2 linked regions of the Coturnix japonica genome follow. The protein of the gene in region 1 purifies or fractionates together with the protein of each later gene. This does not show direct contact. Links are inferred from orthologs where the notes say so. Each region holds a gene or a part of one and is shown in the gene's direction. Other genes may lie near its edges.

What was found.
Region 2: the proteins of USP33 (region 1) and ROBO1 purify together in Homo sapiens (affinity purification with western blotting; 5 studies listed by BioGRID and IntAct, with this or other methods). This does not show direct contact. The link is inferred for Coturnix japonica from reciprocal best matches to the Homo sapiens genes USP33 and ROBO1.

The regions. Positions count from the first base shown.
Region 1 is NC_029523.1:16,711,388-16,728,322, forward strand, and holds the start of USP33 (ubiquitin carboxyl-terminal hydrolase 33), read left to right. Parts: upstream 1-9,391; 5' UTR 9,392-9,463; coding exon 9,464-9,550; intron 9,551-10,620; coding exon 10,621-10,674; intron 10,675-11,625; coding exon 11,626-11,673; intron 11,674-11,771; coding exon 11,772-11,789; intron 11,790-12,610; coding exon 12,611-12,673; intron 12,674-15,126; coding exon 15,127-15,276; intron 15,277-16,455; coding exon 16,456-16,555; intron 16,556-16,935. Other genes in the region: MIGA1 (mitoguardin 1), read right to left, coding at 258-394, 837-963, 2,272-2,408, 2,804-2,981, 4,070-4,168. UniProt on the Homo sapiens protein: Deubiquitinating enzyme involved in various processes such as centrosome duplication, cellular migration and beta-2 adrenergic receptor/ADRB2 recycling.
Region 2 is NC_029516.1:86,724,337-86,740,634, forward strand, and holds part of ROBO1 (roundabout homolog 1), read left to right. Parts: intron 1-684; coding exon 685-856; intron 857-2,451; coding exon 2,452-2,657; intron 2,658-6,735; coding exon 6,736-6,817; intron 6,818-6,986; coding exon 6,987-7,155; intron 7,156-7,264; coding exon 7,265-7,431; intron 7,432-11,018; coding exon 11,019-11,140; intron 11,141-13,434; coding exon 13,435-13,666; intron 13,667-14,927; coding exon 14,928-15,049; intron 15,050-16,298. UniProt on the Homo sapiens protein: Receptor for SLIT1 and SLIT2 that mediates cellular responses to molecular guidance cues in cellular migration, including axonal navigation at the ventral midline of the neural tube and projection of axons to different regions during neuronal development.

The DNA.
Region 1 (16,935 bases):
TTTCTAAGACTTGTATCTTTGCTAAGCAGATATTCTCTCACAGCTGTACAAGAGAGGGAAGTGGTTAAAGAAATGCTTGGTAACTTGATAACAGTAATGCTGTCCAGAAGTAAACACTGATGCAGCAGCATGAAATTAGATATCCTTCAAATGCATGTTCTTTGAATTTGCTCTTGGCTTTGGCAAATATGTTTAACATTCAGGTAGCAAAAGGCAATGGATTGCAAGGACAGCAAAAGTAGATTAAATATACTCACTTCTACACTTTCTTCTGCAATTGCATCTCCTGCTCCCAGCTTGATGGAACTACAGCTTGATTCATCTTCCACTTGCCTGTTACGGAAAGTTAATGCCTGCTCCCATCGACGCAGTGCTTCTTCAAAGAGCTCCATACCTACAGTATGATCAAGAGTGCCTCCATTCCATCAGACACAGCTTTGGTATGTTTCATATTTTAGTGTCAAAGGAAAGTATACAGATAACATGCATGATTGCAGCAGAAATACAAGTTTTTTAAAACAGCTGTCTGTCTTTTTTAGATGAAGAAGCTCACAATATGGTTAAATCAAAAAGGACAGTAGTATTTTTTTCCTATTTACTTTTTAAAAAGAAAACCTAGAGCTTACTACTACAAACATAGGAGTCAAAATTCTATGTTTTCAAAACCTAACACTAGATTAAGTAGGTTTTCATAACTTTATGGATATGTTCTTAGTTGCCCACAGGACACTGGGGAAAAAATACTTTTAATAATATTGTGCACGTGCCACTTTGTCATAAAAACAATTATCTACTTTTATTGCTGGTAGATGCTGCATATTCTTATAATAACTTACCCATCAAATATAAATTTTCAGGCGTAGTCACTGGAATATTAACAAGCTTAATATCCTCTTCATCTGCTTTATCCCAGGAATTAGAATTGGCACACGCACAACTGTGACAAGAGGTGGCACTCTGAACCTAGAAATAAATACAATTTAAAAACAAGATTTAGAAGTGTTATACAGAGTATCCTTAAGATTACATTCCTACTGGAGTATGTTATGGTTAAAGTCTTACCTACAGATCACCTCTTAAAAGATTTTAGGGAAGTGTAGTTATTATCAGGCCAATTAGAATTGTTCCTTTTTTTAAAACACACCCTACTATTAACAGCAATGTTTTGGAAGTCTGTGTTGCTCCTTTTCTGAAATATGAAAGTAATCACTGATCTACAATGTTGTTCTCCCAGTAAATCTGACCATAGATTATTAAAAAGTAGGAAAGTCTCAAAAATAAAAAGCTGTCTAGACTGATGTAAACCTACTTTCTAGGAACACCACTGAAGATATACTGTATTAAACTTCTTGCTCTGTAAACAGTTTCCAATTAGAGCTGTTGATCACTGAAACAAAGATAATCTGCAGTCTGAAGACTCCAAACCATAGCATCTACAATGTAGCTGAGGAGCACAAGGAACCTTCATTTATTTTAGTATACTGACTAAGGGTTCAGTGGTTCTTACTTTTCTTCTCTTTCTGTCATCTTTGAAATATACTAAACTATTCTTCTGATGGCATTTGTGCCAGTGAGTTATACAACTTCGGAAGTTTTTGAGCATCCTCAAGACCTGTTGTTCCAGACTAGAAGTCTAGGAGGAGCTGATGTGGCTGAGAAGGTCTCACTACCTCTCTCTGTTCAGGTTTTTCTGGTACTCATGTGTGAATTCTAATGTTTGGAGATTGAATCCAGATCACTAACCTAACAAGAAAGCGTTCAATCTTGATTTATTACAAGTGATTTACTGCTAAGTCAGTGAACTCACTTGACTCACTAAAAGGTCTAAAATGCATTGAAGCTGTGTATGTATATTTATATTACCTTTATTTATATACACATACACATAGGAATGTATAACTGAGTGCAGGATACAAGGGGAATCCTGCTTTTGGCTGCACTGAGTAGCATAGCTTTGGCTCATTCCATCTCACGGAACTGGATTCTTATGAAGTTGTTAAATGCAAGACAGGAAAGGTCAGAGGGACAGAATCAGTGGGCCGTTCCATTTGCTTTACAGTTATATAAACATCTATGAAAAGCTATTTTCACAATGTAGAAGGTATCGTAGCTTCTTCCACAAGGAGGTCATCTGCTCAGTCAGACCCTCCAGCTTTCAGAGGTGGTAAACACACCTTATTCAGGAAAGTTATTTCAGCTCAGTGAAACCATTACATGTGCACCCAATGCAGGTCAACAGACACTGAAATGCCTTAAAACGCTTTTACTTACGGAGACCAGGCTCTGAACTGAACCAGAGTATTTACTGAAAAGCCCTCCATTTGCATAGATACATGACTGTGATCCTTTTTCCTTGGCGGAACTCAGGGAAAGAGTCAAGTTTTGTCGGCTACTGGAACAACTTGAACCTATTAGATACAACATCTTCAGTTTGTAGAAGCTTTAAAACTAGCAAATCTTATGTTAGCAAGAACTAGCAAGGAATTGTTTCTGAGCTTTTCAATAAAATCCAATTCAGAAGCAAACAATCATGTACATGGATGTACATCCATGAGAACTGCAAATCCAATTGTTAGTATCCTATTGACAATATATATATATTGTTTCAAATTTACAGTTGAAACATTAACATCAAGAAGACTAACTTATAAAACAATAATTCTGTTTTTAAGTTTCTACTTCAAACAGTTCAAACCTTCTCAATGTTAAAGGAAAATTGCTTCATATACTGTTACATACACCTACCCCTTCACATCCCTTTCTTCCCCCCAAGACAAAAAGACTTTGAGGTTTCTTCGTGTACCTTTTTCTGATGCAGCTGCTTTGGTACATTCTAATAGTAGATGACCTGGCTCCCATTGTGATGCTTGCTTGTTTTTCCTTCCACGTTTTCTTTTGAAATGATGAGCCAGAAAAATGACAGATATTGCACTCACTGCTGTGACTGTGAACAGCTTCTTTAAACCAGGGGAAAGTTTTATCTGAAAATTAAAGAATATGACTTCATTAGAATCCCATGCTTCTTAACTCTTGCCTTTCCCCTTTGACTCCTTTGGTGTGCTCAGCCTGGGTAACTAAGAGATTCTGTTCTCACATACCCTGAGAAACTATTATTGACAAATTACTTCTCAAATTTTGTGATGGCCAGGTGAGAGCCAAAGGGATTAGTGGGACATCCATGTGGCTTACTCTTCAACATACTTATTCTCTGAGGTTAATATTTTCAAGTAATTCTGATGTTTTTCGCTCTGTTGCTTATCAAACATGGTTACAGGCAACTAGCATCTCTTCTCTCTGGATCTCTACAATGTAATGACAGCACCTTCCCCCTGCCTGTGTCATGAGGATGCTCCAGGGACACATCTTACTATTCCCTGCATACAAGGAGCATCAGCTTCACAACTCTCACAGCCTTCCAACTTGAAAACAAAGGTCAGAATAAATGCGGTCTTTACCCAAATATGAGGGACTGCTAACCACGCTGCTATTTATACAGCACAGTATCAATGAAATACATCATATAAAGTCTATTTATGAAAGCAAATCCTGTAGTTAATAACACAAACAGCAAAAAATAATAACAACAAAAGGATCTGGTTCTATATTTCATAAGAATCACTGCCTTGTTTTAGTAATTTGTCACTTATTTAATCAAGCAGAAGTAACTCAGTAGTGAGAAGTACACTTTTTTTTTTTTTACTTCTGTTAAAGAATTATCATATAGATGAACTTGCAGTGTGGTACTGCTGATCTGCTTTGCACTCCATAGTGCTTCCCCAAATTTAACCAACTGCTATGTTTAGTTTTAACTACCTAAAACTTCTACAGAAAAGGACAGTTCAGGTATTTTGATTGTACAAAATGAAGATGGACAAACATAGCAGAAAAAGCCATCTGATATACAATGATACACCATCAGCAGGAAAGGATAAAAGAAATCGTTATTCTAGCTACTAAGGCCAAGATGCTCCTCACAATTTTAGCTCATATTAATATCAAAAAAAGTGAGTACAATATTACAATTAAACTTTAACCATGTATCACAAAACTCAGATAATGTGCACATTACCTGTGTGAGAGAGTGATACCAGGACACAGGAAGGTGAAATGCCCGTAAAGCCACTGTCTTCAGAGAAAAGCGTGCTTCAGTAACAGCCTCCTCTGACATGGCTCCTTCTCTCCCATCAATTCATTAAGTTGAATCACGTTGAAAACATCAGCTGCAGATGTCCTCTAAATACTGTCAAACGAAGGATGAAGAATTATGCAATGCAAGCCCAGGACAACTTTCTTTTACAGGCTTGCTGCCCCCAGATAACAGGTCCATAACTTGTCAGAGATGCTCGTGCATAGGGATTAGTGCTTAGTGAAAAAAACAGTGCACTGCTAGCTCAGCTCCAGCCCATTGTAACTGCTCTCTGCAAAGGGCTGTGTGTGTGAGCAGGGACCTGCAGAGGGCTGTCTGCTTTATTACCTAAAAGCTCATTGCTTATATCCTCCAAATTATACACAAGCCAGCTCTACGATCGCTACTGTCAGCAGGACCGTATCCACCAGCTCAAAGAGTTCGTGGGCAGACAGGAAGGCTCTCGCTGAGAGATGCATCGTTTCTACACACACTCGACAAGGAATAAATACCACAGCCTGACGTAACCTCACTCGGTGAGGAGCACCACCCTTCCCCGATGCCCAACGCAGCGCAAACCTCCAACCGCAGCCCCAGCGCAGGGTGACAGCGAGAGCTCCCTCCTGCCCCAAAGCCGGGCTACGAGCCGAGCCCCGCTGCAAAGCGACCCGGCGGGTGCCGCCCTCGGTTACCTGTAGCTGCAGCCACGAGCCCCGCGGGCGGCTCCCTCCCCGCTCCCGCCGCTGCTAGGAGACGGCAACGATCTGCTTCCGGGCGGAGCGGCCGAGGTCGGTCGTGAGGCGGCCTCTACACGTCAGGACAGCCCGCCCCGCTCGGATCCCGCGCCGGCCATCTTTTGGCAGGGCAGCTTCCCCTGCAGGCGGCCGGGCGGGGCGAGAGCCTGCGGCCGCCATCTTTGTGCGGGGCAGCGCTCCCGCCGCCATCTTTGTCCGGTGGGCGCTGGTCCGCCTGTGCAGGGGGCGCTGTGCCGGCCCGGTGCGGCGCTGTGCGGTCACCTTCTGCGCCGCGGCCTGCGGGGTGTGGAAGCGATATCCATGGAGCCTGAGGCGCGTCCTTAGCGGAGTGGCCGCGGCTCGGCTGTAGGATCGGTAAGAGGAGGAACGGGGGTGGTCTGTGCGCCCCAAGGGGGATAGGAAGCGGGGGAGCGGGCGGTGGCTGCGTCCGGACTTGGGAGTGTGAAGCAGCCTGGCCCCAGCCATCGCTGTGACCGTACACACAGGACGGGCTGGGCCTTCCCCGCGGGTTCGGTGCTCCGGGTCTGTCTGCTGGGCAGTGTGTGGGGAGAGAAGGGGATGGGCAGGCTGTAGGTTTTAGAAGGCAACATAGCGTAAGTATTGTGTAACCTTATAAGCGGGTTAACTCCCAGTTTGAGCTGGGCAACCTGATCTAGTAAAGGTGTATGTTTGGTGGCCCTGCCAGGCAGGGGGGTTGGAACTACATGATCCTTGGGGTCCCTTCCAACCCGGCTCATTCTGTGATTCTGTGAGCTTTTTTTAATGTCCTTTCGACGATTTAGCGCTCCAGTACTCAGTTAATCAGTTATGACTTAATTTTCGGTGTAATGCTTGTACTCTGTGGTTAGCTCGCCTGCTTTCAAGCTTAATTCTAAAGATACGCTTCCCAGAGAAAAAAGGAATTTTTTAAACTGTCATAGGTGATACTGTAGAATCATGTTAATCAGGATTCTAAGAATCATGTAAAAAAGGAGAACGATGTTAATATATCTATATCTATCTATCTATATATATATATATGCATATATGTGTGTGTGTGTGTGTGTGTGTGTGTGTGTATATATAGTTTCTTGGTTAAGTTTCTTGGTTAAGTTGTAGGCCATAGCCATATGCATGATAGTGCAAGTGTGTGGGTGTAGACACACATTTTCCTTCCTTACGTTTCAGATCTCGTATTGGTTGTGTATTACAAAACAATTCTTCTCAGAAAGAGCAGTGATACAGTGGCACAGCTGCCCGGTGAGGTGGTGGGGTCACCATCCCTGGAGGTGTTCCAGATACGTGGGGATGTGGCACATAGGGACACGATTTAATGGACAGTATTGGTGGTAGATTACAGTCTTACAGGATGGTCTTAGAGAACTTTTCCAACCTTAATGATTGTATGAAACAATACAAGGCAAAACATATAATGAAAGTGACTTGGTAAGGTGAGTAACTCTTGTTGCCTGGATCCAGGGACAAGGTATCAAAACCATGGACTGGATAACAGAATAGAAAGTAGGATGTGAAACTAAGGAGCGATCTTCCTTTGGTCCTTTTGATTAGATTTGTTTTATTACCAAACCTTTTCAAGATTAATAAAAAAGAAGATGTTTTGTTTTGTGTTGCACGCATTGTTGTTGCAAAGTAATAGGTTGTCGCAGAATTATTTAGAATGTTGATTAAAAAAATGTGCATCTTTAACATCTGATTACATACATCTGAGGCAAAGGGCGTGTGCAGTTTGCAGGGGATGGTGATGTTGGTTGTGTAGCAGTTAATTACTGAAAGCTACAGAGCTCTTTACTGTTTATGTAATTAAACACCCAGATACAGAATCGCGTCCCTGTACCACTCTTCTTGCTTATTAGTATTGAAAGAGAAAATAAACATGACTGTTCCAGTGTGTCAGTAGTGAAATAACCCCAAGTGTAGATGGAGAGCCCTGAGCTTAGTGCTAACTGGCTAAATACACTGTTATTCAGAGATGAATCCTCACAGTAATTAAAGCCTATAATGAAGATACAATTACTGCTTGAGGCAGCTGTTGTCTTCAGAATAATCCTTTTGTTCTGTTTTCCCCCAACATTCCACAATTGAGTTCTGTTTTGTTTACAAAATGTACGATTTATTCGGCTGGGATTTATGTAAGATTAGGTTTTTTACAATTATCTTTTGATTTCTCAAATTAGTTTATTTATATAGTTCGTAGGGCGAGTATTCAGGTGTGTGGGAGCAGCCCTGTATAATGATCTGATTAAAAGGCTCTGGGGACATCAGCTGAATGGAAATATTTGTTTATTTCAACATTGTTACAGTGTTAACTACTGTGATTAGATGAATGGAAACACTGATTTCTAGCTTCAATTAAAAAATTACAAACAAGTAATTACAATATTATATATAATTATAAATAAATATTATATATAAATAAAAATTACAATCTATTGTTTCTTAAGAAATTCTGTGGTAAGCTTTCAAGGTTACTTGAACTCTTAGTGTTTAATGTTTTTTCTATGCGTATATGACAGGCCTTCCCTGCTAGTCAGCACACAAGTCTTACAATGCCATGGAATTATGCTGAATAACGAATAAATTGTTGATAATATTTAAAATATTGTTCATGCTTTTGTGATGGTTTACATGATTTTTTTATTTATGTTGGTTTTGCAGTTCTGATAGTGAGCAATTGAATAGATACCTGGTAGTATGAGATGAAGTTCATCATTCATTGCTCTGTATTGGTTGGAATATTTCATTCAGAAATATACTTCTGTAAAGTAATGAAGCCAAGGTTTTAGTAAGCTATTATACCAAGCCTTCTAAGGCATTTGTGTTAAATCAGCTTTAATTCACCGTGACGTCTTTTAAGATAAGACTTTATTTGAAACTCACTCATCCATTTTTAACACTTGTGTAGACATTGTGAAACGTACAAGACGAAATGTGCATAAATCTTTCTGTTTCCTTTCCAGAAAGGAACTTTACAGTTCAAACCAGAATTTCCAGTATGACAAAGTCAATGAGTTTTTTGCCTGAAAAACTGTTAGTTTTGTATTTGAAGTCTTTCAGCAATACTGCAAATGGACACAAGCTGAGAAAATATGTTTTCATCTGCAACTTATATTCAATAACAGTGTCCTTTAAAGGTTCTTCCATTAATCAGGGAAAAGAATTTAGACTTTATTTGGTCTAAAATCCCAAATTATTTACTGTTGTCTTTCTAGCCTTGTGATCTCAGGTATTTTATCATAAAGCTGTGATGTGCAAAAAGATTGAAAGATGTTGAATATATGTACACATATATATTAAAATATACACTCATATATATATATATATATATATGACATATATATCTTCATATGCCTTACATTATTTTTATAGGTATAATATATAATCACGGTACATAAAGCATTCATATAGTACGCTAAGAACACAAAAAAGCTGTCTTCAGTAATCAGAGGAAGCTGAAGTGACAAATGTCTTATTATGGGAGAGTAGAAATGAAGACCAAGTAAAAGGTAAAAAGCTGGAAGTTTACTAGGAAGTATGTATGCGATGCTTAGCAGAGTTTTGTTCCCAATCTCTGCTGCCAGAGCCTTGGGATTACGTAGCACTAAAAGCAGTGATTGGTCATGCAGGTGAAGAAACAGGTCTAGAGCTGCCAGAGCAAATGAGAAGTGGAGATCAAAGCATAAGGTTGCAGACAGAATAAAGTGCATTGCTGAGTTAGGTTGGAAGTTTTCCTGCATGCCTTGGTAAAGGAGAGCAAGATTGGATGGATAATTGGGCAATGAAAATGTAAGACTTCTTGGGCTTAAGAGATCAGGGCATCAATAGCAATTGTTCAAGTGGCAAAATGGGAGTGAGAGTTCACTGAGTACTTATGTGAACATAATGTAGCCATGTTCAGTTTTTAAAATTGAAATAATGATGGAAAAGTGAATGTATTGAGCATTGCTTGTTTCTGATAAGTTTGTGTGTCTGCATCAGGGTTGTTGGATGGACAGGAAGAACTCAAGCAAGAGGGAAGTTTGCTGGGCAGTTGGTACTACATGTGAGTTACAAGTTTCAGCTTGCTTTTGATATATCGTGTATCTGCTATCTAGAATGTGTCTGTGTAAATAAATAAAAGCAAGATAAAGTTTCCTTCTGCCTTGACAAGTAGGTCATGTGGCTTCAGCACACTTGAGCAGTATTGTGTAATAACACTTTCCAAACATACAGCCCTGGGTAGGCCTGAAAGCTGTCACTTTCATTTTTTGCCTTTTGAGTGCCATGGTTGAAGGCAGGAAGATGAGTAGTTCAGCCAGACTGACTTTGCTCCACTCATTTAGGTTTATACCCTAAAACTCAGAAAAATAGTGTTTTGCATTTTTTACAACTCAGTTGTATTTAGTTTGGACTGCTGATTCCCGCAGTTTTGATAAGTTATTTATTTTAACATTTTTTAAATGCATATTCTTGTAAAGATTGTATATTAGATTTCTACTATTGCTGCACACTGTAAGGAATTGGGTTTTGCTTATTCTCGCTCCTGTTGAAAAGTGCATTCTTGGTCGTGGAAATCCCAGGGTCTGGATCTTGCAAAAGAAAGCATATGAAAATGTCATCGCTCAGCAGCAATTGTCCACACCTGGAGTCAGCTGGAGAGATAACAAAAGAAGAATTGATACAGAAGTCTCATGTGAGTTGTAGCACATTCCTTCCTTCCTTCCTATCTCAGTTAAGCATCCTTATGAATAAGTTGCACAGTTCATCTTGTATTACTGGGCATTAAATGCAAAAAAAAAAACCAAAAAAAAAAACCCAACAAGCAACTAAATATGCAGTAAAATCTTTTTTGCACTGCTGTAATAATGTTTAAACTAAATATGGTACAAATAATGGACTTTAAGGCTGAAAGCCCTTTTTCATACTTGATATTTAAAAGTAATATTTCCCATCAGTGTTTTTAAAAGCAAGCGATATTGCTTTAATGGATATATCACTTAAAAGAGATAAGCAGAACTTCTTCAGGTGATTCTGTTGTGGCAATTAGTTACTTAGAATGTGGAAGTGTAGCTATAGAGTAGGTACTACTGTAGGTAGTATTACTGATGTTTTGAGTGAAATGGAGGAATATATACTTTGGTTTTTGTTGGATCACAGTTTACTTTCTGATAAAGGAGCCACAGGTTGAAAACCTGTCTGAACTCTTGGTTTCTAGCTAGTATTAATAAAGAGATCAAAAGACTTTGTAACTCATTTTAATAATGGGGAAGTGATGAAAAGTTAAACCTTTTCTGTCCACGGTTGTAGAAGGGGAGCAGTTGTTTGCTGCTGAGGGGAATAGCTTTTCTCCAGTGTCATATTTTCTTTGGAAACCTTTGGAGGGAGTGTTGAATGTATGGAAATAGGAATGTGCAGGTGTTATAAGTTCCATTTTCATTTCTCTGGGTTTTAAATCGATGAGCAAGACTGGCTGATTTTGATGATAATGTGACATGAAATGTATTTATGTTTTATTTAGAGGAATATTTCTTCAGATGAAATCTCAGAGCTGTAAGATTTTACTAGGTACACAGAGATTAAAATTGGGTTAAGAGAAACAAAAGTTGTCAAATGTTATTTTTTGTTCCACCTTAAGAATTACCTGATGGTTGAAACACAGTTAATAGTTGGTCTTGCAGTATTTTTCTCAGTTCATCTTGAGGTTGTGGTTTACTGATGACCGTAACTAAAAATCGTTCTTTGCTTGTGTTTTTAACTGAACAGGGCACCTGTCAGGACTGTAAAGTTAGAGGACCCAACCTTTGGGCATGCTTGGAGGTAAGTAGCTCAATTGTAATCTTTTTCTAGAAGACTACAGCTAAAGGTTGGTAGTGTTTATGTTGTTGGAAGGAACAGCTTTATTGAAGTTCTTTTTCTTGTAACTTATTGTGTTTGAAATGAGGTTTTTTATAAGAAGCCAGCATATTAAGGATTCTTCTTGTTTAATAGGTTTAAAAATTAAAAAGTAACTCTTTCCATTATGTCTGTAGACCCTAAGATAATATATTGTACCTGAATAAATTAAGCTACTTTTTCTAACCTTCTCTTACGATTTTTAATACTAATAGCTGGCAGTATATGCTGGCTTCCTACAGCTATCAAAACAGATACTCTGAATTTTGATTCTTAAAAATAAGTAACACTCTCACCCTTTTTTTAAACATGTAGAAGCATTCTTCAGACTTAGCTGAATTTCTGTACTGTATTTAAGCTATGTATAGTTATATCTAAAGTATGTTGTTACCTTGTTCTTCTTTCTCTCTGCTTCTTATCCATACCGACAGGAGATTGTGAAGCTGCTTTAGTTTTTAAAATGTCTTCTGAGCTCTTAAAGCCTAGAGCTGTTTCCTGAGTTTGATATTTTACTGTAAAGGCTTGGCTTCATTTCTTGACAGCCTCTGTTTAAGTCCTGTTAGGAAGACTTCTAGGCTGAGATGGAAACCTATAGGTGCATGTATGAATGCTTTTAAAAATATACATCATTATTTACCTTTTAAATGTATTGTAATGGTGAAGAGATCAGATTTTGTTCCGTCAATAGAAGATAGAAAGGAGGGGGAAAAACAGCCACATTTAATGTCTTTTTCTTAAATGATTTGAAGTTTAATTGCATATAAAAATCCTCTTGGCAATAGGAAGACAAATAGGAAGAGGTGTTGAGGGATGCATGAATCTGGCAGGTGGGGAAATGCTGTGAAGCTTAAAGCTTGTTTTTTATTTCTCACTTAGAGCTCTTGGACTCTTATTGAAAAACTTAATTTCATACCAACAGTTCCAGTTAAGTTTTCTGATTACAGTAGTACATTTAAAGTTTCATGCTGTGATACATCTCCTCTTGGATGAATTAACATCTTGTCTTCACCTTTTGTGCATAGAAAAGCAGCCAGCACATGGTGAGATCCCAGCATGTTAACTATCTGTAACCTAACCATCACCTGTGATAATTTAATGCAGAAATTTGACTGTGTCCAGCTGCAGTTTGATTGCATAAATTAACATGCTTAGAGCACTATACAGATAACATGCCGTACCCTCATAAAGGATTGTCTTGACTCATGCAAATGAGGAATTAATGAAGATTGACAACTGCGAGATTTCATATTCAACTCAGCCAAATATGTTTTGAAATTAGCACAGCTAAACTCAATAATTAAAATCAAAAACTGCTTTAGATCTTTTAAGTAAAATGTAGTGAGCGCCTAACCACATAATGCCAGAAACCTTTATTTCAAGGTAAATAATCAATGAACAGTGAGATAATTCTATGAAGAATAGGCCTTGTATATAAGGATATAAAGGCATTTTTATGTACATATGTCCTGCTTCTAGTCTGTTGTGATTCAGTGTTTTGGACACTGAGCTAACTTAATATTTTCTGTTACAGTCTCTGTCAAATAATGAATAGTAAAAATGTACTTTGACTTTAATCTGAACTAAAATATCAAAATGGCAAAAAATATGTACGTTTTAGAAATACTAAATGTTTTATGCTCTCCACCAGGTTAAGGAGTTGAGTTAAATCTTGCAGCATTCTGGCTTAGCTTTAGGTAATATTTATTTTAACACTTAGCGTGCATGTCTCTTGGTTTCTGTAGGAACCTGAAAGTTTGAAATATTAGTGCATTTGAAGTGGACTGGCTGTGTGCTCCTATTCTGTAAACCTGTTTGATGCCACTTTTTAATTCTGTGTACTTCTTCATATCTTGTTCAACAGAACAGATGTACGTATGTTGGCTGTGGCGAGTCCCATGTTGATCACAGTACCATCCATTCCCAGGTAAGTGCATTTGTTAGTAACTCAGTAGCTTGAAGCACTGAAGTAGAATTACGGAACTTTCTTACCCTGTTTAATGAAGTTGATAACATATATTGGCATAATCCCTTATTTTTGCTTTTCTTTCACTTACAGGATCATGTTTCATTAGCTTAGGGATGTGTGAATAAAATCTTTCTGCAGCTGTGTAATTATTTATGTAATTCTGACCCCAGAGCTTCTATAAAGACTGTGGTGAAAATTGAAAGGAACAGTAAAATAAACACCAAAAAAAAACCACCCAAATAAGCAGTGATAATTTTCAAGATCTATAGACAAGAGGCTTCTTGAGTACCTCAAGTTTTATGCTATGCTTTCATCTGCCTTCATGGGATTGTGGTTGCCTGATGAACGAGAGGAGGGAAGTTGTGTTGATGAAGATACAGAATAAAGAATGTTAAAACTAGTGATTCTTAATTCATGAAACTGGTGCTTTGTTTCTGCATTATGGTCCCTGTTGTAGTGGCTTCAGATAAAAACCCTGTAAATCAAGCTGGACACGTCCTCCTGCTAGATTTTGATTTTAGATCCAGGTTGGTAGAGCAGTGGTGTGTGTGTGCTGTGTTTGACAACGTGCTGAGTTCTGGCTGGGCTGACCAGCTTGAGTGCATCTGTTTGGATCTTAAACTCGCGTTTTCTTCCGTGCACATACATGTGTGACTGGAACCTTTGCCAAAATGGAACAAATAAGCTATGTCACTTTTTCTTAACAAATATGAGGAGCATTTGAGAATCCTGATAGATAAAAAGCTGGACATGAGCCAGCAGTGTGCTCCTGCAGTCCAGAAGGCCAGCTGTACCCTGAGCTGCATCAACAGAGGGGTGGCCAGCAAGGTGAGAGGTGTTTGTCCCCCTCTGCTCTGCCCTTGTGAGGCCCCATCTGGAGTACTGTGTCTGGGCCTGGGGCACCCAGCACAGGAGGAGAGCCCTGGAGATGATCAAAGGGCTGCAGCAGCTTTCCTATGAAGAAAGACTGAAGGATTTTGGCTTGTTTAGCTTGGAGAAGGCTCTGGGGAGACCTAGGTTGGATGGGATTCTGGGCAGCCTCATCTAGTGGCTGGCAATCTTACCCATGGCAAGGCCGGAACTAGATGATCTTTACGGTCCCCTCCAACCTATGCCATTCTATGAATATACTAGGAACAGAGGTTGCTTTATTAACATCCTACTCACTGGCTTTCTGATTAAATTTTTGCTGCCAATTTGCAGTTCATCTGTCATAGAAAATAAATTGAGGGCTGCACACTGTGAAATTTTTGGTTTTTAATAATACTGAGGAAGAAAACAAACAACCAAGTGATGATTATTAATGAACAAATAGGATGCTTGCTCCTAAAAGTATGTTTTGATTGCATTTCACCCCCACTCCTGTCTTTTTTTTTTCCTCTGATGCAGTGTCGACTGCATGTCTATGGACATCAGTGTGGGATTGATGTAAATCTGTATACAAGTGTACCTCTTTAACAAGTTTTTTAAGTGAATCCTAGTTCTAAAGCCCTCATTTAAAGTGTTATAAAGAAGTCACAGTGCAGTTAGAGGGCTATTTAATGAAGCTATAGTCCACATCTAATGTTACAAAACGCTATTTTACACGGCCATATTAAGCGAGGGTACTTGGAAATCAGACATCCTTGCAGCTGTGGTATTGTTTTCCTTAATGGTAGAAAATTTCTTATCTAAAGCTGGTCAGTGCTGCCACATACAGCGAAGGATGGTGGAAATCTTTGGAGTTTAATAGCAGTTATGTGTGTGATCTTACAGTAGGAAAAGAAATTCATGAATGAAAGGTGGAAGTTACAACAGTGGAGATATTGTCCATCAAAAATTTGTGTGTCCATAATGTTATATAGAGAATTAATTGAGTCTAGAATTGGGTCTAGAATTTGATAAGAGCAACTGTTACAATAAATGGACTAAAGATCAGACCCACAAAGATATGAACACAAACTGAAATACGATAAACCATTTTTTTCCTTTCTGACTTGAGATCTAATTGCTTGTTAAGCAACCAATGGCTTGAATTTTATACAGCAAACCAGTAGAATAAAACATCATCCTTACTGTGTGGGAGGAGATTGCTCTTACAACCAATGGCAGACCTGGAAAATGAGTTTAATGCAAAATGTAATTCTTCTGAATACAGTCAGTCTTTTTGCTTTTATAACTACGCTGAAGCATTTCACACACGTATGACAGCAGCTTGGAGACTGATTATATGTTGTTTCTACTTTGACTGGCTTATGCTAATAATGTGTTGCCGCATGTGCTAAAACTGTACTAACCAAATTGCTATAAATACTATGTATCTTAACATGCACAATTATTTCATTATTGAAAGATCCAGTATTTTAATACTTCTGTTATTTAATTAAGCTAAATCTCTGAATCACATTCTTGGTTTTTTTTGCCTGTTTTAGGAGACAAAGCACTGTCTAACTGTCAACCTTACTACGCTCCGTGTTTGGTGTTACGCCTGTAGTAAGGAAGTATTCCTGGATAGAAAATTAGGATCTCATTCTCCATTGCCCAATGCAAGGCTGACTCAAACACAAGAAAATAGCGTGCAGGTATTTTTTTTTAACCCAGTGAAATGATCAGCTGTATCTTTACAATAAACTTTGTGACTTCTCTTGTGAATCTGACTTTTCTTATTTCTTGTGACTATACTTTCTGCTTGTTTCTCTGTTCTGATAAATTTTTCTGGAGACAATGCCAGCCTTATATGTTCAGATTGTGTAATCTGTACTTCCTGAGAATGCTGTTTTCATCTTATAGCCTGATTGTTTTTTAATCAATAATAATCTCTGTAGGTACAGAAAAAGCACTGGGTTAAATTTAAGACTACAAGATGGGAATGGTTCACCTATGCTTCCCATTTTTTCTTCTAAAAGTATAGTTGTTCATCATATGTCTGGAAAATGGGTGTTATTTCTTTATTGTGTTTAATGTGCTTCCATAAAACTGAGGAGTAGCTTGGTTAAAACTGATAGAAGTGCAGTATTTCTAAAAATACCTTGTCTGGGGAATTGAGTATTGGGAAAGATGATATGTAAATTGTGTGTGGGGTTTTACTATTGAAGATGGAAGTGGGACAGAAAGATGAGTAGTTTTTTAGTACATGCCAGCATCCCAATTGCACTTGTACTGCTGGATTCTATTGTAACATCTGTTAACTAGAACTTCTAGTGACTTGATACAGAGCAAAGTCTAGACTTCTTAACTTGTGCCCTGTGACAACTAAACCTGCTTTATTCTGCTGAAGAAATGGGTATGATGTACAGAAAAATCATCAGGGCTTTGTCTGTGTCATACTCTGTGTAGAGTTTTTATGAGCTCACAAAAGGAGCTTGTCACGCAGTAATTGTTTGCTGAATAATCTGTTTCTGCATTTGTATATTTTTGTTGCTAGCAGTTTAATTCCTTTCTTAAATGTTGTGAGCCATCTGGTGGCAGATCAAAACCAGAAACCGTGGTTTTGATGTGATAACTGTTCTGTCAAAGGAAAAAACACTATAGCTTGCTTTGTTTCAGTTCTTCTGCTATTGTCCTAAAATCATGCAATATTGTAGCTACTAATGTGAAAACAAAGATGTATTATTTCATGATAAAATCTATTGTGAAATCCTCACTTTACGGACAGTAAGATTTTGAAATTCGTTAAGTCACTTTTAGTTACTCATTGACAAAGTTATGAGGGAAAGGGGTAGATACAAATACATATACTTTTTTCTTTTTCTCCTTATAAGGATTTTAAAATACCCAGTATTCCCACGCTGAAGATTCCATTATCAGCAGTATTTGATGACCTTGATATAGAAGTGGAAGAGGATGAGTTAAAGACTAGAGGTAATGAAAGTGAAATGCAGTCCTTTATTGATCTTTATTGCATATGTCCATCTCCAAGTCCATTTTCCAGCTATATGTTAATTCGGTTCTGACTGGAATTGTTTCATTACGTTCAACTGATATCACAAAGGATATGCATATTTGTTAGAAAGTATTTCTAAGTATCATTTTCTTTATAGTACCTGACCAGTAAACTTTTAAGGTGTCACTTTTGAGAACCTAATGCATATTGTAAGGCAGTTTGTTTTCCATCAGTGGTGGTAGGAGTTATTCTGATATATGGATCTTATTTCTCCTTTACTCATGTGCTACTAGCTTTCTCTCCAGCAAATCTGCTGGCATTGACCAAAAAGCCTGCTTTGCCCCTTCTGTTGTCTGGC
Region 2 (16,298 bases), on another chromosome or scaffold:
CCCGTCCTTTCAGATGATTTTTGGAAGTTCAAAATAAATTTAAGAAAGAGAGATGAAAAATAGCCTTGCTCAGCCAAAGGTGTACATTTTAAACCAATATTTGATTTAACATAATTATACTGCATTGTTTGCAGTTTCACTTCAGGCCGTTTCTGGTAAAATACAATGCACTTAATACCAAAACTATCTATTTAACTAGAAACTGGTTTAGGATTAAATTATGTATTTCAAGGTTTGTTACAGAATATAAAGACTATGATTACAAAAAACGAAGCACCACCTTTTTTTTGTTGTTTTTTTTTTTTTTCTTGCATTTTAAATACAGTAAAGGGAATGTCCTGTATGAATACATGTTGAAGCAAATTTTTTAGGTTTACCAGTTTCTTGCACCATCCTGGCATTTGTACATATTAATTTTTTGCTAGTGCCTATTAAAGTTTGCTTAAAGCTCAGTACTGACTAAGGAAATTATTAGAGCAATCCTGAAAGACATATACAATCAGGGCAAATGTGTGCCTATTTTATCACCAAAAAAAAATTATAAAAGCTATTCTTGTTGTGTACAAAAATGCTTAAGGTTTGAAGAGCAATATGTTTTATATATATTTATGTATATTTAAGGTTATTAATATCTGAATTTATTTAACACTTCTTTTTAAACTCTCTTTCCTAAACACCTTCTAGAATCTGCTTTTCTCATACCAGCCCCCTCAGTCATCCAGTAGATTTTCAGTTTCACAGACAGGAGACCTCACCATCACCAATGTTCAGCGGTCTGATGTTGGGTACTACATCTGTCAGACTTTAAATGTTGCAGGAAGCATAATAACAAAAGCCTACTTGGAAGTTACTGATGGTAATGATATCCCTTGTTTTTGTTGTTGTTGTTTGTTTGCTTGTGTGTTTTTGTTTTGTTTTGTTTTTTTATCATTTCCAAGTTTTTATTTTTTATTTTTATTTAAATATATCAGTGAGAGTATGTGATGTTATTTTAGTATCTGCTTTACATGAGCACATATTGCATGCAGGTTTTTTTTGAACCTAAAATCCTGTTTGGGGCATCTCTATCATGAGTTTCAATTTTGGATATTGTGTGTTGCCATTTTGTTGTGTAACAACACAACTTTAGACACAAAGCTCTTTAGACACTTGTCATAGTTAAATATAAACTATGTGTGAGCTTAGGTTTGACTTACTCTGATGAGAAAGATACTAATGGTCTCACAGTGCTTTCCAGAACATTACAACAGGTTGGGACAAGAAGTAAAAGGTAAATTAAGCAATTGAAAATGTCAAGTGTCATTTGAACATGCAAATGAAATTACAACAGTTGGAACTTAGCCAAAAAAACCCATTGCCAACACCCTGTATGAAAATAACCTAGAAATATCTGATGTTCTCAAATTCAGAATTTCAGGTTTATATTTCAACAACCAAACTAGCTTTTAAGTTAAATCAATACCCATGGCACTGCTAAGCTCAGTTATGTCACTTTAAGTTATGGCTACTTCTAAATCGACAGCCCATGTCATGTTGAATGATACAGGAAAGAGAGAGGTCACTCAGTAAGATAGGTTTTACTTATTTTCTTGATTATGCATTGAACAATTGGGGGGGGGGAAAAAGAAAAGAAAAAAAAAAAGTATAGTCATATTTCTGTTTCTATGAATGCTGAAATTATTTATACTTTTCTTTGCATAGTTATTAAATAATATATCAAGACCATTTCATTTTCATTGTTTGCAAGATGCAGTAAAACTAGTGCAAACACACTGTGTGTTACTCCATATAGTTTTGAGCTAGTATTGCAGGTGAAGTTATCATAAAACTGGAAATCTGAAACTACTGGAGAATAATTCTTAGCTGAAAAGTTTTGATACAGTACTTTCATTAGCTTTGTGTTTAGTCTACTGGAAGGCAAATCCCAGTTAGGAAACTGCAAAAATAAGTTGATGGTTCACAGTATTTAAGACAAAAAAATATATACATATATATCCTAGATATTTGCCATTTTGTTCAATGTCTGCCTACCTGCTTAATATCTATCACTGAATCTTGAAAGTATTGAATTCTGTTACACAGGTGCTCTGTATGGTAAAAAACAAAACAAAACAACCAAAAAATGAACAAGGTAAAAACTGAATTGCAAAACCATTGGGAAATCCTTTCTCATTTTGTTATCACTTTATGAAGACACTGCAATTACAGAATGCCTATGTAATATGTAATTCTTCTTTCCCTTCTGAAATTAATGTATTGTATATCATTATAAATTCTGTAGCTGTGCATCATTATGATGCACCATGCCCTGAATAATGCATGCCTCCAACTTTAATTACTTGTTTAATTATCTTTAGTTTGTTACAAAGCCTCAAGCAACTGCTGTTGCTTAGATGATTAGAAAATTGCTTCCAGTCACAGAAATCTATGTCCTGTTGTTTCTTCTGGCAGTGATTGCAGACCGGCCTCCCCCTGTCATTCGACAGGGTCCTGTGAATCAGACTGTAGCTGTAGATGGTACTTTAGTACTAAACTGTGTGGCCACAGGCACTTTAACACCCACTATACTCTGGAAAAAGGATGGGATCTTGGTCTCTACCCAGGACTCTCGCATCAAGCAGTTGGAGACAGGAGCATTACAGATCCGATATGCCAAGGTAGCTTGAACTGGCCAGCTCTTTTTTGTGCTGAGTTTTGTTGTTGTTGTCTGTTGATTATTTCTCTTCAGGTGATTTTTTTTTTCATATTGGAAATACTACAGTTAAAATTAATGAAATGTTAAATAATTGTATTAAAATATCTGATACTTTAAGTTTTCAGATGGTTCATTCCTTAAGTTTTACACCATGTCTTGTATAGCCTAGGGCCTATTATTTCAATGGAAAAATGCTTTTAAGTAATAAGGGGATTATTTGCTACTTAAAACATGAAGGAAGAAGAAAAACTTACATTTCAGTGAGATGAATCCTTATATAAGTTGAGTTTCATCACTGATAGATGGAAATTATCTAATTATTTGAAGCCTCTGCTAAGGATACTGCAGTTATGGAGTCATGTTCACAGATTTTTGAATATAACATTTATAATTTAAATATTTTTACTTTATAAACATAGTATAGCCCTGCCTTAAAATGGTTAATGCCCGTCAAATACGTGGCTTTCTTAGGGAACTGTAGCAAGTGCCTGTTCTTCCTGGTCAGTATTGCTGGTCATGCCTGGCAAAATGGAAAATTCTTTAAAATGACATTATGTTTTTGCCTACTAACTCTCTATTATCTTTTATGTGGTTTGAAATGTATTAATTCTTAAAATTAGGCCAAATACATGGCTTTACTACTTTTGCTAGACTTGTTCTGTTACTAATTACCAGTTACACTGTAAGAACAGGGTTGGTCTCTTCTCACTAGTGACAGGATGAACGGAAATGGCCTCAAGTTGCACCAGGGGAGGTTTAGGTTGGATGTCACAAAAAGCTTCTTTACAGAACGGGCAGTTAAGCACTGGAATAGGCTCCCCAGGGAGGTGGTTGAGCCACCATCCCTGAGTGTGTTTAAAAACCATTTTGATGTGGTGCTCAGGGACGTGATTTAGCAGAGGGTTATTAGAGTTAGGGTAGTATGGTTAGGTTGAGGTTGGACTCAGTGATCTTTAAGGTCTTTTCCAATCTAAGCATTTTTATGATTCTGTGAAAGAAACCAGAGCAACAGTCAGGCTGTGGTAGTGCTGTCTTATGCTGTTTTCAATTATTTCTTGCACTGCTTTCTTGGTACAATGCATAGTGTTGAGGATGGTAAAGAAATGAGATTTTAGAACTATTATCAGATTTTTATCCACAATAACCTTTCTGTAACAAGAAAGACCAAATATCTTTCCAGGTCTTCTGAACAGTGTTCTCTGATTTTCCAGAGAAGGCTTCTACAAAGCACTTGGTTTCTCAAACCTTTGGTAAATGTTAGCCTGGAAATTAAATCAAAAGTTATTATTGCCTGGCACTGTAGAGCACTGTCTTGTGAGCAGTCATTCTATGAAGGTGGTGATCCCTTTATGAGTCTTCAATAATTAAAATGCTGTTATTTAATTAGTCTCTCCTTTTGCTCTCAGAAGACATCATTAGGATGAGCATTCTCAGCACATGCAGCATGAAAACATCAACCAGTCTGTTACCCTCTATGACTAAGGGTCTGGAGCTTCATTGTTACAGAAGACTGTTACCTTGACATTAGAGAACCATTGTTTCTACATTTTTTGAAGAAAAATAAAAATGTGATCTGAAATTTCACCTGGATGAATGAAAAGGCCATGGCAATAGAAAGGGTTTATTATTCAGACATCCTACTTCCAGAAATATTTGTCTATGAAATACAAAGTTATAAACCTGTAAATGGGTACTGCTGTTCCTGCTGTGCATTGGGTTCCATTTTAGAATGCCAGCTGCTCTCCTGTATCTACAGGGCAACTCTGTTCTTGTTGAGTTCAAGCAGCTCTGGGTACTCTTTCTTGAAGCTGGGGTTGTAGTAGCAGAGTAACTGCAAAATGCAAAGGAGAAGAGTTGTGATCAGTTTGAGACTGAAAGACAGTGAGGTACAGAAACTTAAACTTTTAATTGCTGAAGACAAACATGGGTATTAAAATGTCTATTGGTCAGTTTAAACTTACAGCTCAGGATGACTAAAGCAAGATATGCTGAAGTAATAGACAATACTCTCGTTTATTTATCTTTCTGTTTTATGGGTTCAGACTCACTGGATAAAACCCAAATATATTTTTTCCCACATTTCTAGTACTCAGCAATGCTACCTCTAAAATTCCTGCAAACAGCCAGAGGAACAAATTAGGATCAGAATATTTCCTGTCATTCTCATCTCCTCCATTACTGAGGCTTATTTTATTGGACCCTCCATCTCTTCCACCAGAATATTATGAGAGTTGGTTCATGTGTGGAGCAATTGACGTACCTTTCTGTGGGCTGCAAATGCCTCTTCCTCTGCCAGAAACTCAGGAAGTGAGGGAGATCTTTTGGAGTCATGCTGAGTTTTTGCAAATCCATACACATTAAGTTGACAAATAAAGCTTTTTATGCTTTCTGTCCCAAACTCTCAAAGATCCTTTCTTTCCCAGTACTTCAATCTGAAACATTTCTTGGTCAATTGTAATGCAGCTTCCATTCTGACCCCACCAAATGCTCTTAAATTGGTGACTTTCTGCAATACCCAGAGTTTCTCTGGAAAAGTGAGGGCTGCAGAGATAACAGTGCCTCCATGTGTGCTTTCCCTGTAAGATGCATGAGGTGTACATTTGATTTCCTCCTAATGAGGATGAGTTAGTACATCCTTTTCATCCATTTTTGATGCCCAGGCTGTTCCTTTATCCTGACCTGGAAAATCAGAAGGAAAGCCTAGGGATGCATCTGGACCCTCTGGATCAGAACCAGAAACGAGCATTCATTATCTACTCTCTCAGTAGACCGTGTTTTGTGCTCTCAGCTAGTTCTGCAGGGAGCTACCCTTTGCCCTGTCACCTGGCAAGTGAAATCCCACAGAACTGTTGAGGGGTTCCAGGGGGAGAGGCTCAAACATCACCATGGTGCCCATGTGTCATGGTGACATCACTGTGCAGTGCCTGTGGCCCATCTGGTGCAGCAGCCAGAGCAGGCGTTGCTGACCTGCCCTTGTTGCTGGTCCTGCACAAAGCCACAGGTATTTTCACTTGAGTCAAGGAGCAAATCAAACTGTACCTGAAGGGGAACATTCCTCGTCCAGACCTTGCTTTCCCTTCCCTGTGTCGTCCCCTGAATCACTCCCTTCTGGACTCCTTGGTGTCCCTTGGGTTCTCCAGATGGGAGTGGAAATCAGCACCATTAATAGAAGAAAATAGCATTCTCTTGCCATTGTGTCACGATTTCTTGCAAATGCTCTTTTATTTCAATTGCACAGCTTCTGTAAGGGAGTAGCTGTGTGCGCTGGCAATGTCAGCTATGTTTCCCAGAAGGTGCTCTGCAGGTCCAATAGAAAAAGAAGTACATTTTGCTGATCACAAAAGCAGGAGTTGTACAACCCCTCTGTTCTTTTATTTGGTTCCTGTGTTTTTATTTGATATTTTAGAAATTTAGAAAGCAGTCCCACAAAATCAGTGATGTTCTCAAAAGCTATCTAAATTATGGCCCTCTCTACAGAATTAAGTGCCAAGTAAGCTATCATTCAGAAGTGGATGAGAATAGCATACGGAGATATTTTTGGGGGGTCTGCCTTAGAGTGAAATTTATACTAACACAAAGAAACCAGTAGGTAAAAGGCCTTGTGAAATATTTAAGCTTTGTTTTAGGAACAGCATTCTCTACAGCTCATCAGTCCAGAAAGTCCCTAAGCATTACTTAGGCAGAAGAGTGTATGGGAATCTTGACATCTAAGTTCTTTTTCAATTTATTTCTTGAGGACTCTACAGAGTAAGGAGTAAGTGCTACAAGACTTGGTCTTCAGTGTGTGGATTTCAGAATGGGCAGTGTTTAATAAGAATATGCAACATTTCTACTTTTTTAAAGAATACTCAGAAACATAACCCTTTTCATTTTGTATAATGTAAAATGATTCCTTCTAATGTAAGAAGTTTGTTCAAAGTTTCTGCAGACTAGAAGATTTATTCATATTCATAGAGTCATGTACAAAGGTATAATTACTTTTCTAGCCGACTGAGTGCCTGATTGTTTCAAATATTTATTCTTCTCTTTTTCCCACTCAGCTGGGTGACACTGGTCGGTACACCTGTGTTGCTTCAACCCCAAGTGGCGAAGCTACATGGAGTGCCTACATAGAGGTCCAAGGTAAATCAATTATGTTCTCTCTGCATGGTGTAAATGCATAAAAGAAAGTCAAAAATTGAAATGCAGTAATTACCTGACTGTCATAAATTACCAGTGCAGATGTGAGTAGCATTTAGCTTACAGCTGCTTCCTGTCTGTCTGTACTCAGCGTTTCTCTCTCCTTTGTTAGAATTTGGAGTCCCAGTGCAGCCACCAAGACCCACTGACCCAAACTTGATTCCTAGTGCTCCATCTAAACCCGAGGTTACAGATGTCAGCAGAAATACAGTAACATTGTCATGGCAACCTAATTTGAATTCAGGTGCAACGCCAACCTCTTACATAATTGAGGCCTTCAGGTATATGTGTCTCGTGATCTTGCTGTACTTAAGTTTGTATATAATAATGATATAATGTATTTTTAAAGAAGCACGTGCTAACCTGCTGTTATGTGTGTTTTATTCTTAGCCATGCATCTGGTAGCAGCTGGCAAACTGTAGCTGAAAATGTGAAAACAGAGAGTTTTGCAGTGAAAGGGCTAAAACCTAGTGCAATTTATCTATTCCTTGTGAGGGCAGCTAACGCATATGGACTAAGTGACCCAAGCCAAATATCTGATCCAGTGAAAACTCAAGGTAAGCTTTTGGTATTGAACATTTTAGGTGTCCACATTGGCTGCTACAAGTTGACTGAGAAAGACTGGATGCAGAAGTTTTGCTAGCTTTTAACTATCTGTGCTGGCTGGGCTATATGTTAGGTAGTGAAATACATTGTTTAAACTTGCATTTCCCTGTAACATAAATTCTAAAAGTTGCTTAGACAGCATATTGTGCTGCCTAAGGGATTAATATTATCTCTTATCCAAAAATAGTTATGTCTTACAGAATAGCTCTTGTTAGCAACAAAAGTGATCTCTGATTTTTGAAGTTATCAAGCAAATCCTTAAATTCTATGGAAATGTTATTATTGTGTCCAATGAACCAAATGAAGCTTAGAACTAGAGACAGAAACAGCATATGATCTAATTTGGCTTCTACAGCATTAGGAAAGAAAGAGATTTAAAATTTGAAGGAACTGGGCATTGTGAGTCACTAAAGAACTTTCAGCAGTGTACTGAAAGCATTGCAGTAATACTGCTGTTGAAAGCAAACAGCAGGAAGGAGAAACAATACTTTGAGATAGCTAAGTGAAAGACAGAACTGGGTAGTAGCTTGTGAAGGAGTCACCTGCTGACTGAAGCTACAGGTGAAGTCTAGCTATGGACTTGATCTATCTATACAAAATTCTAAATAAGTTCACATTCATTGTAGAAAATGATACTTAGGGTAGTGTTCAGGAAATAATTATTTGCAATTCCAGGAAGAGAGAGATGGAGCTGTTCAGCCTGGGGAAGAGAAGGATCCAAAGAGACCTGAGAGCAGCCTTTCAGTATCTGGAGGGGGGCCATAGAAAGAAGGGGCTAGATGCTTTAGTGGGATTTGTTGTGATAGGACAAAGGGAGATAGTTTCATACTAGAACAGATGATATTTAGATCAGAGATAAGTAAAAATATTTTTTATAATAACAGTAGTGAAGCACTAGCACAGGTTGCCCACAGAGATGCTGGATGCCCCATCCCTGGAGATATCCAAGGTCAGGCTGGACAGGGCTCTGAGCAACCTGGTATAGCTGTAGGTGTCTCTGTTCATTACTTAGGAGTTGGACTAGATGACCTTTAAAGGTGCCTTCGAACTGAAATGATTCTATGAACTTTGCAGCCTTTATTGTTCCAGTGCGAATGCTTTCATGATTAAATAGGGGGAAAAAAAAAAAAAAAAAGTTTGTCAAAGAAAAAGTAACAAAAGTCATCTTCCTTTTTTTTTTTTTTTTTTCCTTGCTTTAGTAGAGAATTTGATCCATTGGCTTATTAAGATGCCTGTGATATATTTTGATTTATTTGTTTGCAGAATTAAGCATGTTTGTTTTTGGAAGGAAGTTCCATAAAGGAAACAAAAAATCTTCATTTAGGAACTTTTCATTTGTTCTGAAGTTGGTCAGAAAGCAAGTTTTTCTCCCGTGGCGAGTAGGCAGTTTCATATTCCTATTGTTTGTTATTATGCATTTATTCTGTTTGGTAACGATTTCAGTGGATGTATAGACAGCATAGTTATAGCTGCATAGAAAATAGGAATTACAGTTTCCTAGGACTGCCTCAAAGAACAACGTGTTACTGTGTGGGCAGGTGAGCTGCAGTGTTCTGTACATGTCAGTTTTTCATGCAGTGTAGCATTCCACAGGTTTTCAGTTTGAGCTTGTAAGTTAGTTCAAAAATTTCCCACTTAACTTCTGTTCATAGAAATTTATTGCCTTGTCTTAAATTTATGTCCAGATCAGGAATCTAACTTACCTCAGCCTTTAGACCTTACCAGCATTAAAAACATGCTTAAGTGTTCTCACTCACAGTCCCTGTATTGGAAACTTCAGAGACTAACCAAGAAAACATAGAATAGATGATGTATAGTCCTGTAGCACAGAACTGCAAAATTGCTGAGTCTGTTAATCGCTTTAGTCATATTGTTGATGACTCATCTTTTATAATTAGTAGTGAAAATATCACTAATTATTAAACTAACTTTCCTGTAACATTCCAAGTAAGTTGATATTTAGGCAACACTCCAAGTACGATTTTCTATCTTTAGAGCTTTCAAAGCATTAAAGAAATGGTGGGAAGGGAAATGCTCCGTTAAATGAACTGTTAGGCAGAAAATAATAGATATAGCAGTAATATTGTGATATTTATTTATTTATTTATTTTTAATGTAATCAGCATTCCTTTCTAAGAATCTGTATTTGTCATCTACTGATTGCATGGTAATCTCAATTTTCTTTATTAACTTCAGAGAGATCTCATTGTTTTGCAGATATTTGAGTCAGCTATGTGACAAGACTGCAAAGTGGCATCAGCTTTATATGCCAAAAGGGGAACTGTATTTTTGAGAAGCTGTTCTCACGCTGATATTTTTTTTCAGTGCAGCCTTACTAACTTTTTAATATTGCTTAGACAAGGCTTAAAACTTTAACTGAGAGTTTAACTACCATGCAAAAAGGATGCTTCCCATCTTTCTCATTTAATTGTAAGATGTACCTTTAAAAAGGAACTATTGCAGTAGTTGTAATAGATATATACACAATTTCTTTGTACTCCCTTTTGCCTGTCTAGTGAGCAGACAGGTATGGAATTTACCAATGTCTTCCGAGAACTGAATCCTTGAAGGTTTTCTAGTCTAGAGGAGATGAGACAGAGGAAGTAGTAGGCTTGAGTAAGGTTTATGTAATGCATTACTCTGTATCTGGAATTGTATTAAGAAAAGAAAAATACATTCACTGAATTCCCCAGTCTGTGATTTTAACGGTTGTCAGCAAGGTATTTTCTAAAATGAAGTGATCAAAGGGAAACATATGAAATCAATATAGAGACTGTGTTCCTCCGCTGTCTGTTGTACATGTATATTTGAAACACTCTGTTAGTGACTGCCCTATAAATTTTATATATGTCTAGGACAGTCATTAAATTTCAGATAAGTATTCTTTTCAAAGGCACTGCATGCAGAAATGGGTTTCCATTGTCCTACTGCCTATTTTGAGAGGAATTTGTCCCTTCATGTATATGTCCAATTCTTTTAGCTGTAAGATAGACTAAATGTCAGAAGAGCATGACAACGCTCAGCTGTGCTCTGCCTTCTGTTTACAGAAGTCTCCTGCTATCAGAGTGGAAGTTTAGCTATGTGACATCCTTTTAGTTTCTACATTTTTTGTTTCTTTTGTAACTAAAAATAGTAAGTTTGCCAATTAATTTACCTGAAGGCAAATCATTCACAATGGCCCTTTCATATAGTTTTTGTGGTCTCTAATGGAATTTGGAGCAGGCAATAGAATTTTTTTTTTTCCTTCTGGCAGGAAAGATTAAAGAGATGCTTCTGTCGTCATTTTCCAAAGATCTCTCTGAATATGGTTCTTTCTTTTTATCCATCATTTCCCTCCTGTTTCTTCCTCCTGTTTTTGTCAAAGTATATTAACTCAGTAAAAACTTTCTGTAGATTTTTCTTATGTTTCTGGAGAGTACCTGTGATAACTTTAACTGATGAAAACTTCCTTTGTTTTACGATATTTTTATTTGTATTTATATATACTTATTTTAACAATTGCATATATTTGTGGGAATTGAATCTTAAATTATTACAGATGTTCCACCAACAAGTCAAGGTGTGGATCACAAGCAAGTACAGAGAGAACTAGGCGATGTGGTACTACATCTGCACAACCCTACTATCCTTTCATCCTCCTCAATTGAAGTTCATTGGACAGTAAGTACAAATCTGCATCATGAAGGTAGTTACATACATTGCTAAAGTGTACTGTTTCACCACTGTGAAGTCACTCTTTAAGAAGCTGTGTAGTTTTTTAAAAACTGGCAATGTTTTTCATTTTAGTAAGTACTACTAGGGCTTTGTTTTCATACTTCATAGAACTTTGTCCCATTTTCACATTTCTTGTCCCTGTGGAGAATGTTGCTTATAATATGGTGAGAGTTCCGAAGTCCTCCTCTGGATATTAAAGAATTGATCCTAAGCTTTCTTAGGTTAAATCATTTGAAGCCTTTGCACTGCTTTCAGTAGGAAGTGTATTTAGTCCCCTAATGAGATAATGTGGCTAGCCCCATCTGTCAGACAACAGTGGAGGGAAATACTGCATAGTTATCTTTCAGAGTGTTTCCTCCATCCTATATATGTACTGAGAAACACATCCAAAACAAAATACTGTCATATGAATATACTATTCTTCCCACAGTGCTATGAATGCATGTAGCACAAATAGAAGAGACATAAATAACAATTCAGAGGTGTTCTGTTGGTGTTGTTCTGACAGGAGGAAACAGGAAGTTGATCATGTGAAGATTATAACAGGGAAATGGGAGATTAAGGAAACAATATTGTAGAAGTCCTGAAGCAAAGTAGAAATGAAAAAGAAAGAACAATATAGGAAATCAAAAGTAAGAAACAAGAAAATAAAATACAATGAAAATAAGACCAGTTTAAAAAAAAAAACATATAATGAAGACAAAAAATGGGGGAAAGTTACACAAGTGCAGGAATTTATCAAATGGGATTGAGCTTTGAAGTCTTTTCAGATTTTCCATCTAAACAAGTCAATATTGGCAGTCAGAGCACAGGATGTAGCCCCTGCCATGCCATGAGCAAGAGCAAAGACATTTTTACTCTGTAGAAGAGCCCTAGCTATGACCAGGGCTCTTCAGTACTACAAGGTAGTATCTGCAGTGTTCCATCCACTTACCTGCAGCAAGGCCATCTGCGCTGTGCTATTTCCTCTTTTAACTAATAACATTAAAACATTCTTGAGGCTCCTAGCACAATTTTGTTTGACCTTTACTTACAGAACAACCTTTTCCAGGCAGCCAGTTTTTTTGTCAGTTCCTTGGGTGGCCTGTGGCTTCTCTGCAATTTTAAAAGTAAGCATTACTTCAGTCTTAGCTAACACATGCATTCTTTATGCGCTTATTAAAAATGAAAGGTGTTTTTTTTTTTTCTTCTTCTTAGCAAGCAAATGGTTTTATTACATTACTGTGTGAGATTTTTGAAAATAAGGAAAATCTGGTGCACCCTTTTAAAGGCTTCTTATTGTTGCATTTGGACTTTCTTATTCATCAGAAATTGAAATTTGTTGTTAATGCTGTGCAAGAGATCACTTCTGCAAGATAACTTTCTGCTGTGGTTACAGCCAAACACGTTGAACCCTATCCTAATTTACATTAAGGTTTCTTTCTCCATACATGCAGTATAAAATGGCCTTAGTTTAAATCCCTTGGGACCATATTATTTTGATCTGTTTTTCCAAGTCTCATCCTTATTGCCATGCTGATTTTGTAAGCATCTTAAGAGCCCTCTTAAAACAGCCCCTTCCCTCCAACAGAGGAGGCTCCTGCTGAGTCAGTGAACGCCGAGGAAGTGCTTGGGCAGATCTGCCCTTCAACAGCCTCCAGCCTCATCAGAGCAAAGCAGATAGTGCCAGTTGGCTGCCCTTTTAAATCACTTACTCCAGAAGGAAGCATGCAGGAAACAGTGCTCATTTCCTGAATTTTGAGAGGCTTCACACCTCAGGAGAGCTGGCACACTTGGTGCTTTATCTGTGTTCATCAGAGCCATTGATCCCCTGCCCTGGTCTTCTTCCCTGACCAATTCTGCAGAGCACATTTGCATGGGCAAAGTCTATACTGAGTTCTCCTGACTCCATTCAGCTTCTCCATGAATGTAAACGTGGTTCATTTCACAGAGCCATGGTGTGTTATACAATTCTGCTATCTCTCTTTAATGCTTCCATAAATCCACCGAAACTGGTGCCATTCAACCGGCATCAATATTAATGTTCTTTTGAATCAGTCCTATACTTTGCTGTAATTCAAGGAGCCTGTATCAAGTTCAGCATTGTTTATTTTGAATAAAATAAATGGAGAGACCAAGGACTAATGCTGCAGACAGCATGCACAGTTCCTAATAGTTTAATAAATTATTCCTAATTGTTTAATAAATTATTAAAAAGTGCACAATGTGTTGTAAAGGTTGTTTTTCTGCTACTTTTCCAGGTGGACCAGCAATCTCAGTACATTCAAGGATATAAAATCCTGTACCGGCCAACACCAGCATCCTATGGAGAGTCGGAATGGCTAATTTTTGAAGTGAGGACTCCAACCAAAAACAGTGTTATCATTCCAGAGCTGAAGAAAGGTGTAAACTATGAAATCAAGGCCCGCCCTTTTTTTAATGAGTTTCAAGGAGCAGATAGTGAAGTGAAATTTGCAAAAACCCTAGAAGAAGGTAAGTAGGAGCCAGACTGTCTTCATCTTTCCTTTTTGAAGTAGTATTCTGGTCTGCTTTTCTCTGATATGTTCATTATTTGATTTTGTTTGAAGTTTGTGCTGTTTGAGAACAGCAGTCTGTAGCAGAGGAGAATGTGTTGGACTGATCATTAAGTGAGTTGTTTGGTGACATCGAAGTAAATATTCAGAACCATGTGTGAGAGACAGAGAGAGAGAGGGATGTGCAAAACCCTCCTCCAGCACACAATGGGAAATGTGCTTTTTATCTTCACTGCAGTGTGCACTCCTCCCTGCTGAGTTCATGGTCTGGTCACAAGTGACTTCTGTCAGATTCAAGCACTTACTAATCACTATCTTGAGTAGATAGCAGACACCGCAGAAATCATCAAAGCACTGTAGCTGAGGGAATGGAAACCACATTCTTAGAAGGCTTTTATATCTGCATCAATCAGTAATACAAAATGAAAAGATGAATGAGGGCAACAGATATAGTGGACTAAATTATGTATTTCCATCTCAAACGCATGCTAAAAAGAGAAGGTTCATAAAGCTGTTTCTTTTGTTGTAGCTCATCTGGTAGTTCAGGCATAATAAGTATGTGCTTCAGAATAGGGATTTCAGTGCCTCTGCTGGGATGTGATACCTTTTTCCTTATCTCTTTACTACCTGATGTAAATACAGTATAGCTCTTGTTTATTTCTGTAGGTGGTTCAAGAGGTATGCTTAATCGCATTCATCCCAAGCATCATCTAAGCATATTGTTTTTAGAAAAACTATTTAAAATTCAAAATATAAATCTTTTAAGCATAATACATTCAGTTCTGATTTTAATAAGGTTTGTATTGCTCACTATTTTTCACACAGTAGAGCAGCTGAGGTTTAACATTCTGCTAGGATCTGTTTACAGATTTCATTTTTTAATACTGTTGATCATGGATGAGATGCTTTGAAACCCTTTCAAGAATTCTGTGCTGTTCAGGTAATTGTTATCTGAGTTTGGAGTGTCTGGTGGGCTGCCTGACTTTTTCTGTCTTACAGAAACAGCACAGCAGAAATAGGAAGCCTGCCTGTAGGTTCAGATCACTTACCTTGAATATCATTATAATTTGTGGGCATGAATTGCACTTTCAAAAAGCTAGGGAGTAAAATAATACATTTTTGTGGCCCAGAAACCAGTTTTCCTTTAAAAAGAAAACTAAAATCCTTCACTGTTGCATTTGACAAACATAACCATTCAATCTTTCTCCCCAAACAAACAGCGCCCAGTGCTCCACCTCAGAGTGTTTCAGTAACTAAAAATGATGGGAATGGGACTGCAATTGTAGTCACCTGGCAGCCACCCCCCGAGGATAACCAGAATGGAATGGTTCAAGAATATAAGGTAATAATTGCATATATCCGCTGTCAAAGTGTTGGCTGGATTCTGATGAGTAAGTTGTTTGTGGATGCGTGGCTCCATCTACTGGATAAAGTTAGAGCACATCGTTTGGAAAATGATTTCTTTGAAGAATCAAGCTCCATATTTAGTAATTCTGTCTAAATGGTAGAAAGCAATTAAAGCCACCTCTATAAAACAAAACAAAGGTCAGTGCTGATAATTGAAAAAACTGCTTTCTTGTCTTTGTTATACACTGAGAAAAGCCTAGGCAAGCTGAAAGGGAACCCTACCTTTTAGAGAACCATTTTGTGACTCAAAGACATTGGCTGCAATAATAAATATAAACAGGCTTAAGGAGCTGAAAGGCTCAAGGATAATAATTAATGGTGTTATGATATGAGGAATTTATTTTTAACTGAATAGTCAAATAGAAAACTTTCAAGTAAAGAATGTTCTTGTACAATACTAAATATAGTAAATTTATAGAAATTTTCTTGTATTTTTCACAAAAGAAAGGTCTTGTTAAGCTATATAATTTTTCAAAAACTGTAGGTAAGTTATAAAGCATTCATTTGATGTTCATTTAGCAGCATACACAGTAATTATTTTCAGTGCAAATTGTTTTGAGATCATTTACTTTGCAAATCAACTGAAGCTTATTTTTCCTAAGCAAGCCACAGACACTTTAAATATTTAGTTGTGTATATCAAATAAACTTTTAATAGGCACTGAGTGGCAGGATCATCTGTTTTGGCTTCTTCTTCAGGTAAAACGCTGTGCTACAAACATGTGTCCCTTGCCTTAAAAACTCATTTGGCTATTTTGTTTTCCCTTAGTATTAGCAGAAAAGGGAAGAGATCACTGCTTTTCATGGTAAATTTAGAACAATAAAATATCAGAACATGAAACTTGGTCAACAGGTAGAAATAAAATGAGTTTGTGGCTTAGTTTCAGATATATCATGTAATTTGAAAAAAGAATAAATAAGAAATTGGAAAATTGTTATATTCAATTAACTGGAAGGGTGCAAATATTTCCATCAAGCAAATGCATTAGAAGAATGTTTAGGTTGCAAGGACAAAACAATAAAACTCAGGAAATTCATATTTGTGAGTTAATATGATACCTGACTTACCTCCCAGCATTCAGAGCTAATAAGCTGTCAGGTGTTGGAGCAAACTGTCTTCTTATGCTTCTGTAGCAGCAGGTGGCACACTGGCACATTTCTCCCACATTTATTGTCTGAGTGCCC